2 linked regions of the Mus musculus genome follow. The protein of the gene in region 1 binds, or shares a complex with, the protein of each later gene. Links are inferred from orthologs where the notes say so. Each region holds a gene or a part of one and is shown on either strand. Other genes may lie near its edges. The genes, in order: Adgrg1 and Cd81.

Region 1 (6,892 bases):
AGTCCTCACAGCCTGGAAAGGTGCCCCTAACACCTGCTGTGCACACATAGGAGGCTGAGGGAGGTGACTGAACAGCAGGTGGGGCTGGGCTTCAGGCAGTCTGAACTAGCAATCCCCACCCCCACCCCTTACCCCACCCTACCCCCACCTCATCATTTCTACTGCCCGCCCCACAGGGTGTTTGTTTTCTGAACCAGAGAGGCCCAGGCACCTAGGACTTACTAGGCAAATATTAGCTCAGTGGATAAATACAGGAACTAGGGAAAAATGCCCCAGTCAGAAGCCCTGCCTGAGTTCACACCTGCCACCGTGGGTGAAGCCAACACCTTCGCAAGGTTCAAGAGGAGCTCAGCCATGGCTTTCCACAGAGATGGGGAGCTCACCCCCTGACCTTGTGGGCTCCACCAGCTCTGAGAGGGAACATGGAAGCTTGAAAACACGGGGTACACACCTGGGGACTCCCTCACCTTCTCACGAGGTACCCAGGAAGGGGAGGGCTCTGTATTCTTTTCTCTGTCGTCAGTGATGGGTGGGAACAAGCCTGATTCTGGAGTTCAGCTGCCTGGGTGTGACTTCAAGCCTATTCCTGGGCCTGACTCTTGACTTGCTTGGGTGTACCCTGCCCCTCAGGGCCAGGATGCTGCTCCCTCCAGGATGAAGGAGAAGTCAGGTGTGACCTAGAGTTTACATTTGGCTCAGGTCTAGCTGCCCGGATTATGGTGGTTACAATCCATCTCTGCAGGTAGCAGGTCTGAGACTTGGATAGGTTCTGGTTACATTTCATTTCCTTAACCTACTGTACTAGGGGATGGTCTGGGTCACCAGGAGACCATACCTTCAGACTCACAAATGCTCCTCAGTGCCTACCTACCCTGCCAGGGCTCACTACTTTTCCAACTCTTGTTATCATTGGAGGGCAAGCAGGGCAAAAGAAGGGGTCCCCATTTGATATATGACCTGCGGCACAGAGAGGTTAAGCAACCTTTCCAAGGAAACCCAGTGAAAGTGGGCTCAAGACTGGGATTCTAGCACCAGTCCTTGCTATTAGGTGACAGAATGGTAGCTATATCACATGACGAGGCCCCTGAGGACATAGAAGAGGATGTGAAGTGTGGGTGTCACAAGTTAGGGATACAAGAAATCACTGGCACTCCCCTGTGTCCTTATCAGGGCAGACAGTGCCTCTGGGGCCATGGGGATCTGTAGTCAAGCTTTTTCTCTGGGTCCTTTTTTTGACATTCATCTTCCTTGGCTCCTCCCCACCCCCATCTGCTCAGTTCTAGAGATCCAGTTTGTGCTGGGCAGAGCAAGTTTGCATGCCCACCCTGTAGCCAGAAGTTCCCACGTGGAAGGGGTTATGGCGGGATTGAGAGTCCCAGTGGGGCCTATGCAGACAGGTGCTTATGTCATCTCAGGGGACTGGTGCTCCCTTTTGATATCCTTCTCAACTCTGTGGCCTCGTCTCTGTCTTTGGTTCCTTCATTCAGTTGCACAGCAGTGAGCACCCTCCTCCTCCTCATCCCTAAAGTCAGGATCACCGACCCCAGGGCCTTTGCACAGACTCTTCCATCCACTAGAATGCTCTGCTCTTGGTACCCCGTAGGCTGCCTCCTTGGATGCTGTCTACACTCAAGCATCATTTCTCACCGTGAATCCAGCCCTGCTCCTTTATCAACTCCCCTCACCATATTTTCTCCCCATTATTCTTACTATAGCTCTGGATAGATTTCATATTTATTGCTCATTAAATTTATGATCTGTATCCCTGCAGCTTTGAGCGGGCAGGGATTTTAGTATATGGCTTGTAGCTGTCGCTCCTATGCCCTGCACAGTGCCTGGATCACAGCAGGCTTTCCACAAACATGTGACGGAATCCATCCGCTGGTCCATCTGTCCATCCACCTATCTATCTATCCATCCATCTTTTCTTATCCACTCACTAGCCATACATCTTCCCTCTAGACCAGACCCTATTCTGGCCCTGCTCTGGTAACTGCTGGGGAAAAGCAGACAAGACAAGCATGGGGATTGACCTGAGGGGCAAGAAACACAGTGGCGGAAAAACATGGCGGGAGGGCCCGGTGGGGAGGGAAGCGAGGTAGATCCTAGGGGACTGACAACCCCATGGGCCTGGCCCACAACAGTGTTTCATACCCCTTGCTCAGAGGATCAGCTTCTGCTTGGATTGGCGTCCTCAGGGAAGTATGGCTCAGCCAGCAGGTCTCTATGTTGGGAGCTAGGTGTGTGCATCAGGACTCACACACATACCCCGCCCCCATACTAGTGCCTGATTGCAAGAGCATTGAAAGAGAGGTGGGTGGCAGGGTCTGAAGGAAGTGCCTGCACGAGGCCTCTCTCCATTGGTGGAGCTCGCCTGGACTTCTCCCCTTGGCCCCCTTCCAAGATACCTGGGGCAGCTGCCACCTCCCATCCCTAGCAAAAAGCTCCAGTTCCTGCCCCCTCACCTTCTGCCTGCTCTGATCCCACCTGAGTCCAGCAGGACATATTGTGAGAGCCCCACCCACAGCCCCGGAGCCCTCCTGTATCCAGCCTGTGGCTGGTGTGAATGGCGCTGCAGACAGGATATGGTCTGAAGAGGCTGGAGAAGCCACAAAGGGCTGGCAGTTTGCAGGTGTGTGTGGGCGTGGCGGCCTGCCTCCCACAGCCTGAAAAGGGTCTCTGAAGCCCAGAGACAGCGTGATCCCGGCCTCCCACGGGGCAGCTTTTACTGTCTAGGGAAGAAATCCCCAAAGTCCATGGAGTCTGAAGACTCTGTCAAGCCTCGCTAGGAAACCTAGGAGTTTTAGAGGGCACTTGGCACCGGAAGCTAGCCGGGTAGGCGGAGCCTCACCTGGATTGAGTTCACAGCTGCCTAGACAGGCTCAGACTAGGTGCTGGGCACCTGGGAGGAGGAGGAGACATTAGCAGCAAAGGCTGTTAACAGAAGTGCCTGCCTAGGCTTGGAGGCAAGACGCTGCTGTTCACAGTGCGAGACGGAGGTAAGAGAGGGCAGCGGGTACGGCATGCACTTCGCCTGGCCTGGCCCGCTTGACCTTAGTCTAAGGTTTAGCGCAGTGCTTGGGAGTTCTCGAGTGTGTGCTGGATCGTATCTCCCAGGGAACGACTGAGTTTGAGGTTCTAGCTGGTCCTAGGATACTCCTTGCCGCTCAGAGTGTGGGGCTGGGCGTGCTCACGAGGGGGCACTGGAACACGTTGGCCAGCTGTGTCCCTCTTTGCTCAGAAGGGCACCACTGCCACGAGGGCCAGAGTGAAGCTTGGACCCTGGCGTGTGGTTGAGGACTGGCGGCATGAACCCCATTTTTCCCTTTGTCCCTAGTGCTTCCCAAGCAGTTTCCTCCTGAGATCCACGGGGGCGGGGAGGGCGGGGGGTGGGGGGACCGGTTTAGCAGCAGCTCACTTTGGTTGTTTGACTTTTGAGGAGGAAGAGGCAGGCAGCCTTTCCTGGTAAGCCAGCAAAAGGGTAGATAGAGCTCATGTATATGTCTCTCTGTTGCTGCCAGCCACAGGTCCCCATGCCTGTCAGCCCAGGTCTGTCACCCCGTCTGCAAGAGTCACTAGAGGGGGTCCCAAGAGTGCACACCTCCTACCAGTTGCTTCCCCCACATGGTAACCCCAAAGATGCACCCAGATAGGTAAAAGTTCAGGCTTGCCATGGCCTCTGGTGGGACCCTGGCATTCCTTCCAGCTGGACCCATGTCCCTAGCTGTACCATGATGGAGATAGACGGGCCCCCAGATGTCAAATCATATATGGCTTCTAAAGCCCCAGTGCCCAGCCCCCAGCCCTAGCTCACAGCCCCCACTCAACCAGACAAAGGTGGGCGGCTGGCGCCGCTGTTTGCCTCTGCCAGTCTGACTCCCTGAGGCGTGTGGGCTGCATGGTGGGCCCCTGCTAATGAGCATCTGTTATCACTCCATTATGCCGCCTGCGCCACCTGCACCCCAGCACTTAGTGGGAGACCCCGGGGGGTTCCCTGGCAGCTGGGCAGAGGGGCATGCAGAAGGCAGGAGGTGTTGGGGGGGGGCAAGGTCTTCCGGGGCTAGGGGGCCCCATGCTCTGTGGGATTTCTACAAAGTACTTAGGATTCCAGCTCTTTATTGTATCAAAAGAGAAGTGCTGGGGATGGGCGGGGTGTAATCGCCACACTAGGATGGATGAGGCAGATCGGTTTTGAGTTCCAGGCCAGCCTGGGCTACGTGGAGAGATGCTGTATTGAAAGAAAAAGGGGGAGGGAAAAAGGGGAGGAGGTGGTGGCAGTCTAGGGGGATTTTGGGTGAGGAAACGAGTGTCTGTGAATTCCCAAGTGAGTCTCCCCAGCCAACATCTCACAAACGCATCTGTGCTGTGTATGTATTGAGAAGGGGATGTGGTTGCACATGAGGGCACAACCAAGATTCCGGTCCTGGAGACTGGCAGTGAGTGACCTGGCATAGTGTTCTTCGTAAGATGGAATGACCTACCCATTCTTCGTACGGGGCTGTACTGTCTTGTGGGGTAGTCCCTAAACCTCTCTGGGCTTCCCTTGCCTGCCTTGGTACCGAGGAGATAATGCTTCTCTGCTTGATCAGAGACAGTTGGACCAGTTCTGGTATCTGAGCAGCTTCCACTCAAACCTCAGGACAGGACCCGGGGAGGGGCGGCATAGACCGGGCACAAGTGTGAAACAGTTGGCAGCAGCTGACATGGCCTTTTTGGGGAATGCTAGTCACCTCAGACCATGCTTGGCTCTCTAGCTGAGGCAGGGTGGCTTCTGTGGAGGGTCGAAGTCCCTCTGTTCCTGCACACTGGAGATATTTTAGGAGCAGCCTCAAGGGGCTAGGGAGATAACTCAGCTGGCAAACATGCTTGCTGTGGAAGCATGAAGGTCTGGGTTTGGATTCCCCAGCGCCACAGTAAAAAGCTGAGCTTGGTGGTTTGTGCTCGTACTCGAGAGAGGCAGAGACAGGAGGGTCTCCAGCAAGTCTAGCTGAATCAGAGAGCTTCAGGCTTTGGGAGAGACTCTGTCTCCAAAAGTAATTTGAAGGGCCAGCAAGATATTTAGGCTAAAGGACTTTCTTTCAGGTCTCATGACCTGAGTTATCCCTCTGGGTCCCACATGAGGCAAGGAGAGAACCAACTTCTGTGAGTTATCGCACACACACACACACACACACACAGACACAGACACAGACACACAACCTAATTCTTAAAACATTTAACACGTAAGATGGAGAGTGATGGAGGAAGACACACACAGGGTTGACTTCTGGCCTCCACCCCATTTGCACATAAACATGCACACATTCATGTATTTCAACACACACTCAAGAGCAAACCCAGTGGTCAGGAGGGTGCCGTACCCATTTTTACACATGAGAACACTGAGGCACGGAAAGATCAAAGCCCAGCAATTTGATGCTAGACTCTCACGGCAGTTATGGAGGGCTTTGGAGCTATACTGGGAGGAACTAGAGTGTCGTGGAGAGTGGTTTGGAAGCTTAGTCAGTGGCTCCCGTGGGTCAGCCTGCTTCTGAGCAGAGTACAGGCCAGAGAGTCACACCCTGAAGAGGCTGAGCGGAAGTCTTCACCCTGAGAGGAAGACCTCATCATAACAACTCCCCCTGATCACCTGGGCTGCAGAGGGGACCTCTGTTTAGAGATGGGTAGGGTCTCACAGGAGGACCCCAGGCCTCTGGATCCTGAAGAACAGGCACAAGACTTGTGACAGGATTGGTGAGGGCTTATTCAAGATGCTCATCTTTGCCTTGGGCACAGGGGCTTCTGAATGCTGAGAGGCAGGGGCATGGCCCATGTGACTCTCTGAGCAAGGATCTGGCTGGATCCAGCCCTCTTACTGGAGGGCTCTTGGAGCGGGGGTGGCTAAACTGAGGGTCAGACATTCCGTCATGCCACAACATGAACAGGCGGTTCTTAACCAGTTTGCCTGTCTCAGGTAGCTGGGCACCAGGTATGCCCACCTCTGAGGGCAGTCAGTGGGGGATGGCCTTGGAGGCAGCCAGCATGAACTTGGCTAGGGAACAAGACACTGGATTGGTCTCTTCCCTGCAGTCAGGAATGAGGTGAGCACAGGGAGAAAGGTGGTGTGCCCATGCCGGGGACCAAGACCACTTCTCGTTGGCATGCCATCAAACATCATTGGGGCCAGAAAGAGAGACCTGGGGGAAGGAACTGTCCTGGAAGTCAAACCCTGGTTCCAGCCATGACACTGGGCTAGGGGGCTCCTTCCCTCTCCTAGTGTAAACCCCTTGGCAGGGCTGTAGGGGAAAACACCACCCACTCCTATGGCTTATGACAAGTCTACCACTGCTATTTGGCACAAGGGGTGAAGAGGGACAGTGCTGTGGCCACGAGGGGGATTAAAGAATTTCTGCTAGCATCTAGGATATGGGACTTGCCTCAGACCGCAACCTAGGGCTTTGGAAATCTGAGGCAGGTAAATTTAGGCAGAACCTGCTTGGCTCCATTCCCATGGACCTAGAGTGAACTCCAAATAAGGTCTCAGAAATCAGGCATACTTGACTTGGGCAGACTCAGCTCACATCTTGTCCTGGGCCTTGATTCCACATTATCTGCTATGTTGTCCTTGAACCCCAAGCCCAGACTTGAATCCCTATGAGGCCCAGCCCATTTTCATGGCAGAGAGAGGCCCCTGTTTCCCCTCCTCTTGGACCAACCGTTTTTTTTTTTCCGACTCCTCCCTTGCTAGGGGAAGGGATGCCCCCCAGTGGGGAAGGCTGTCCTGAGTGCTGGCACACAGCTGCCTTTGTAAGTGTGGCTGAGTCACATGGACACCCCCCCATCCTTGCTGGACCCCGGGGCGATGTGACTGGAGGTGGGGAGGTGGCGTTATCATGGGGCTGTGGCTTCCCCC
Region 2 (7,085 bases), on another chromosome or scaffold:
CTCACAAGAGTTTTGTCTGGCATTGCTTGGCCGTTTTTGGATGCTGAGCTCTTTCAATACACAGCTGTCTTACTCCCTGACCTGCATATGAATTTCTAGCAAGCAGAAGTGATGATGGTGGCAGCCAACAAACCCTACAAGAGCAAGCCCTACATAAACAGCCCAGGTTGGGGAGTCTTCATTTTAGGAAACCATGGTTCTACAACAAAATCCCCCTACCTCCTGCCAAATGCACACAGCAGGACTCCTCTGTGGAGTGAGTCACAAGACTCTGGGACTGAGCCAAAAAGAGCTTGACCTTGACTTTCCCACAGGCCAGGCCCTGCTCCAAGTAACAAGGACACATTGACCTTCTGTACTTAGAGACTTTCTGCAGCATTTCTGTCACACTTGGGGAAACTGAGAAGCCAGTACAAGTTCATACAGACAGGAGAATTGTGAGACAAGCCCTGGCTAGGAAGGCCCATTCTTCCCATCTTCCCACACCTGCTGGACAAGGGAAAGCAAATAGAAACTTCCCATCCTGGGCTTGAGCTTCATCACTGTTTTCTTGGAAGCCAGAAAAGAGATATTTTCAGGCTGAGCTAACCGCCGGGGACATTTTCTGATGCACCCTCTGGGTACCTACTTGGTTCCCCCATGTCCTTATAAGGCCAGCTGGCAGGATGTTGGACAAGTCACTTAAGATGTAGTGCTCACAGGTGCAGGCTCTGCAAGGCACCCCTTGTACTCTTGCAACCAACCAGTCATCTCAGCAAGTCTCCTGGGCCTATGAGATTGTTCCCTACCCCAACCCCTTCAATGGGAACAGAATGCAGCCTAAGTCTGCCTTCCACCTAACTCAGACCTGTCTGGCCTTCTGCCCATATCTGTTCCTGATCCAAGAGCTTCCTACCAAAGTCCAACTTGGTAAACCGATTAGTTGATTTAGGTTACTTACAAAAGTATGGGTGAGGGGTTACTTACAGCATCAGAGACAACTCAAAGGGAGCTGTGTCACCAAAAACCTCAGCATAGGTGATGGCTCACAAAAGCTGGAACCCTGGAGAATGGCACTTGAATAGGTCAAAGCATGGGCTGTCTTCCTAATTATGTATCTTTAGGGAGGAAGGGACCTGTTAGTTTCAGGAACGTCTAAAACTTGTTAGTTGTTCATTTCCGGAGTCTTAATACTTTCCCTCCAGAAAGGGATGTTTTAATTTGGAGGAAAACTGCTTTACAAAAAAATTCCCTACCATGATTGGTCAAACATCATGGAAACTCTCTCCATAGCATGTATGTGACCAGAACCTAAGGGCCCCAAAGAAGCAGCCTTGGTTTCTAGGCTGTCCATAGCCCTTGGAACAGTTCCAGGAACACAATGGCATTCACTAAACCCAGATGTATCACACAGTACATAAACAAAACAGCTGGCCCTGCATGACGTTCAATGTGTAACCCCACTTTAGGCATGAGGTATCCCCATCACTGGAGACAGTGGAGATCTGAAGAGAAAGCAGGTCCCCATCTCTGCACGTGCAAGAACTATTCTTGCCCACTTTTAAATAAAAAGAATCCTAAGAGACTCCCTCCTGGAGACTCAAATGACTTTTAGTGTGATATTACTCCAGCATTTGGTGACTAGTGTTACTTTTGTTGTGACACCACTTCAGCCTCCAAGAACTATAAATGTGGACACAATCCTTCACTGTAGCAGCTATACCAGCCTGAAGCCAAAACAAATGCACAAATTAACTCTCAAGAAGCCTACTAGCCTAGCCGAGTAGAGATAGCTCCACCCAGGCAGCTACTGGCCAATCATCAGGTTTACATGTAAATTATACATAGTTCAAATTTTCGCCCTTTAGACAACTGGGCATGGTGTCCTAAACCTACAGTCTCAGCACTTAGGAAGCAAAAGTAGACAGAGCTCTGTTCCAGGAACCAGGGCTACATTGTGAGATTCTCATTCTCTGTCTGTCTGTCTGTCTCTGTCTGTCTGTCTCTCTCTCCACATATATATTATAGATATTCCTTTCCTTTGTTTAAATATATATGTATATCTATTCCTTTTTAAACATATTTCCAGTGTCCTGTAGCCAGAGGGGTGCCAGGTGTGATCTCCATAGGGAACAATGTCCTTAACTGCTCAAAGATTTAAGAACATGGAGTGACCTGGAAAAGGCTGAGTCTTGGGAACTGGTCCTTCCATGGTTCCCAGTGAGTCTAATGAAGCAGCCCCATTGCCCTTCAGTTTGGGGAAGGGAATGCCAAGATTTCACAGGAATATCATCTATGATGACAGCAGCCATTCCTCACCCGGGAAGGAAGCACCTCTGCCCTCTGAATCTTTCCTCACTTCCTTATTAATCCCAGCTTTCAGGGAACCAGCTAGAGGATGGAGGATGGACTCTTGGAAGGCACAGCCAGGATGGCATGAATATTTGAAGGTGCCCCTGAGGGTTCTCGAGCCTAAAGACTGGCTAAAGACATTGGGTACACTATTGACCTTCCCAAATGCAGCCTCCAGAACTGCAGCCAGGAACTCTATCTGTGAGATAGGGGATTAGCAAGGCTACAAAGAATTCCATTCTAGACCTTCAGGCCCACGGAGTTGCTGCCTGGGAGATCAATATACACAAAACATGTTAACTTTTAAGACTCTTTACTGTCGAGACACCTCCACTAGGGTACCCTCCGGGAAAGTCCAAGGCGTCCGAGTACCGGAGGAAGTAAGTGTGGCTTCTTTGGGGCAGTATCTTGTGGCCAGTTCTTAGTCGCGACCCAGAAGCCTGCCCCGAGGGTTGGGAACCCTTAAGAAACTTGGAGATTCATCCTGCGCACGCACAGTGCACCGAGTCCCCAAGAACCAGCTGCACCAAGTTCCAGAACGCTTACTCTGGGACTGAGGTGGCAGCACCCACCCAAGTACCCCTGGTCCGGGCACCCCGCGGGCGGAAGGCGGGGCCAGGGGTGGAGCGTCCTCTGGGCGGGGCCTCGGAGGGGCGGGACCTAGAGGTCTATAAAGAGTGAGGAGCTAGGCGCGCGCGCCCGGTCCGAGCGAGCGCGTCCTTGCTTCAAAGAGATAGTGACTCTCGCGCCTCCGGCTAGGCCTCCAGCCCTTCTCTACCCTACGTCTCATTCTCCGCAACGCAGTTCTCCGGCCCGCAAGCGCTCCAGGCTATCTGCCAGTCCCGGACCCCGGTACTGCGTCCCCATACCGCCCGCTCCAGGACCAATCCAAGCTCCGCAGGCCGCGCACCGCCATGGGGGTGGAGGGCTGCACCAAATGCATCAAATACCTGCTCTTCGTCTTCAATTTCGTCTTCTGGGTGAGCAGCCACTGGGGACAGGGCGCACCCCACGGTAGCCAGGCTGGGCAGCGCGCTAGGCCCTGCTGAGAAGGCGCAGCGCAACCGCGAAGTTGCGGCGCCACCTGTGGGCTCCGTGCGCCGATCGGGGTCCTGGCGCCCCTCGCCAGCGGGTTGAGGCCGAGGGCTGAGCTTCTGGGCCTCGGCTCGAGGGGCTTCTGGGGCCGGGAAATCAGGGGATCGCTGGCCTGTCCCCTCTGAGTGCTGGGAACTGGTGCAAGAGTCTGCGGGCTAGAGCCAGGTAATCAAGAGCCCTCAGCTATGAAGGGGGTACTCGCACCCTCCTGAATGTTGTTTTGGGGACCATCCTGCATCGCGAGCAGTGAGGGGGGTCGAGAAGGGCGGGATCTTGGCGCCCCGCCCCCATGAGCTCATCCTAGCCACCGCCCCTGGATAGGCGGCCTCGAAGTGGTGGGGGCACGCTCCGTACTTGCCTCGGAGACCTCAACCCCACTATTACTCCACCCTTGCTTACCCTCCAGCTTGGTATTGCCACCCTGGGGGCTCGAGCTCCAGGCCTAGAAGGCAGGGCAGCCCGGGCCGCGTGCTGCTGCGCACGGTGCCCCAGTTCTTGGCCACCCCCACCCCCATTCCCCCAGCTGCCCCTCCTCCTTGCCTGTCGTCTCCTGCACAGATTACAGCCCCGGCCTGACCCTTAGATCCTGAGAGGAAGAGGGTATGCAGTTCTGAGTTGGTGAAGGCCAGGGTGTTGCAAAGATCTGGGATCTGTACAAACCAGGAGCTTAGGATCTTTTCCTATATACAGGATCTAAGCTGGGCTCTCCACTTTGGAAAGAAGTGCACACCCATTTGGTCATCTTGGAAAGGAGACATGGGTATAAGAGGGTCTCCAAGTGTCCCTGGGTCCTGACTGTCTTCACTGCTGGGGAGTAGCCATTGGTGGTATGGGCTTCTTTCCATTTCCTAACTGGGTTGGGAATGGGGAGTCTTAACAGACCTGCCTGCGGGCACTTGAGTGAGCAGTGCTGGCCACTCCTCTGGACAGTGGTGCCACCCTCCCTGCTGCAGTGCACAGACTGCTGTTCCCACCACCCTCCTTCCCAGGAAGAAATGAGGTTATGCCAAGACAATGTTTCTCTAAAGTTGTTCCTGAGAGGGCAAACTTGTACAACGGCCCCTGGAGTGAGTGTGTTGGACAGGGGACACCTGTTTTCCATCGAGGACTGCTGAAGATCCCAGGGCGGGTCAGGGTGGGGTGGAGGGGAATAAGACGTTGGGGATGGGCAGGAACTGGGCTGAACTCAGCTGGGGCTATGTATGCTCACGCGGTGCTGCAGGGACCAAGATTGTCAGTCACGGTGACTCCAGAGAACACATTCTAGGGAGCAGCATGGGCGATGGGGTTAAACTTGCTCTGCCCGGGCATGCCTTGGGGTCTCGACTGGGTAGTCATGTTGGACAGTGCTTGCCTACTCTGAACCATGCAAGGAATTGAATGCACCCTCAAGAAGTGTGTTATCCACCCCACCCCACCCCCATTATTCTTCAGATGTGGGATGTCAGGATCCTGTAGGGTATTTCTTTCTTTCTTTTTTTTCTTTTTTTGCTCACCCACCTGATCCAAGCGCTAGACCCTCAGACTCCCTGGAGTGCTGAGGCTGGGTGAAGCTGCTCGTTTCCCAGGCAGCTGGGGTGGAGTCCCAACATGTCCCTGGGGTCTCTATTGAGGCTCCAGGAAACGGTTCTGAAGCCTCTCCCTGCTCCCAGGGACCTGCCTACTGACTGCAGAACAGTGAAAACTGTAGCCTTTCACAATCCCACAGACCTCTCCTCCCTACTCATGTTGGCCCCACAGTGGATAGGGATGTGGAGCAGAACCAGGCTACAACTGGTGGACACCACCCTGGCAGAGGGACTCCTTTTGTCCCTCGTGTGGCAAGGTTTGTACTGTGGCTGATAGTTCCCTGATATCATGAAATTGAACCTTTGGGGAGCCCCACCCCACCACTCTGGCCCTTAGTCTTCACTTCCTCCCTCTAAAGTGGGAGTTCTTGGGGGTCTCTGTCTCCTAGGATTGTGTGTAGACTAGCTAATGTACTCCAGAGTGGGGCAAGGGGCTTGGAGCAGAGAAGGCTCAGGAAATGGACACTGGACACAGTCTCCAAAAGGGAGTGGGGCCAAAGGAAGCTGAGCAATGATGTCAGAAGGGCCTAAGGAGGGGGCTGAGAGGTCCTTTGGGCCGTGGTGGGGGCGGGGGCTAAGAGCTCTAAGAAGGGAGATTTGGTTGACAGTAAATGTTTCGATGGACACTTTTTAAAATTTCCAGTTTGAAGATTAAAGTGGTTTCTCTGTGGGAGGGGACATTCCGGGCACACTAACCTGCCTGCTGTCACTCCCACCAGTCCTCCTTGGGCTTGAGTTCAGAACCTATATTGGGGCCAGCAGAGTTCTGGACTCCCAAGATATATGGGGCAGGACACAAACCTGAAAGATGAGCGGTGAGCAGCAGAGACCATGTAAGATGCTCTTAGAAGCAGGGTGGTTACTCATCCCCTGAGACAGGTCTGGGATTAAGGGTCCAGTCTCCTCTGGCAATAGTCACCGGCTGGCAATAGGGCAGGAGAGCAGGGGATGGTTTATCACTGTGCCAGCCTATGGCCTCGGGTGGGTCTGTAGGAGCTTTGTGTGACAATGTCTCCATAGGAGTAGTCAGTTAAGGAGAAGAATCTTCACTGTGTTCCCCGACAGAACAGGCTGTTCCTCCAGCCTAAGGCTGCTGGTGGCCCCCGTCCAGTAGCCCAGGCAGCCAGACCCACCACAAAAGGCTGATTACAGCCTCTCAACTGGCATTTAATTCTCCAGACTGAACATGACTGTCTGTTGTGCTCGCTTCAGCAACACACATACGTGACTGTCTGTCACATAGTGGTCTGCTGGCTGCCTTCCGGCAGAGGGGCTCTAATTCTGTGGGCTCAGGGTGGAATGAGCACTTCCTGTGACTTGCCCCTTGCTCCTGGGGCTGTCTGCTCCGCCCGGCTTTGGGAAAGACAATCATTGGCCTGCAAAGGGGAAGTCTGTGGTTCATCCCTGGGCTGGCTTCAAAAAAAGGACATCCGAACAGTGGGGGCACAGAGCTGGAGTAGACCTGGCAGCCTCTACTCTGGTGCCCACACACTGCGACCTCATAATAAGAGCCCCCACCCCCATTCTTTCCGAACCCTTTAGGCATTCTCTCGGCACTTGCCTTCTAGCTCAGTCCTACCTCAAACGGAGCTTCTGTGATGCTCTAGGAGGGAACCAACAACTGCCAACCTTGATTCCAGAACCCAGAGTCCTGCCAAGGGGATTGGAACCTCAGTTATTAAACCTCTAGCCTTAGAGTCCAGCTGCCCTAGGGAGAGAGCAATCATCCTTGTACACAAGAGAGGGCGTAGGGTGGGGCAGAGTTATGGAGAAGTCAAGGTACCTGTGGCTCTGGCCCTGATGCCAGGGAACCAGGTAGGACACGGTGTGAGTGTTGGGTGACTCTGAGTGTGAGTGTTGGGTGACTCTGAGACCCTATAGGTAGGGCCATTTTGTTCCTAGGACTGTTGCTAGAGAACCAGGTGTCCTGAGAACTGGCCTTCAGTAGCCTTCAACTGTTCAGTACTCTGACCTGGCATGCCAGTGACTTGACTGTGACCCCTAGTACCTCCCTCACAAACACAAACACACACACACACACACACACACACACACACACACACACACAGAGAGAGAGAGAGAGAGAGAGAG

What was found.
Region 2: Adgrg1 (region 1) and Cd81 share a complex: the UniProt entries of both Homo sapiens proteins name them as parts of the GPCR-tetraspanin complex. The link is inferred for Mus musculus from reciprocal best matches to the Homo sapiens genes ADGRG1 and CD81.

The regions. Positions count from the first base shown.
Region 1 is NC_000074.6:94,974,419-94,981,310, forward strand, and holds the start of Adgrg1 (adhesion G-protein coupled receptor G1 precursor), read left to right. Parts: upstream 1-2,690; 5' UTR 2,691-2,999; intron 3,000-6,892. UniProt on the Homo sapiens protein: Adhesion G-protein coupled receptor (aGPCR) for steroid hormone 17alpha-hydroxypregnenolone (17-OH), which is involved in cell adhesion and cell-cell interactions.
Region 2 is NC_000073.6:143,049,756-143,056,840, forward strand, and holds the start of Cd81 (CD81 antigen), read left to right. Parts: upstream 1-2,994; 5' UTR 2,995-3,245; coding exon 3,246-3,311; exon of another isoform or gene 3,312-3,931; intron 3,932-7,085. UniProt on the Homo sapiens protein: Structural component of specialized membrane microdomains known as tetraspanin-enriched microdomains (TERMs), which act as platforms for receptor clustering and signaling.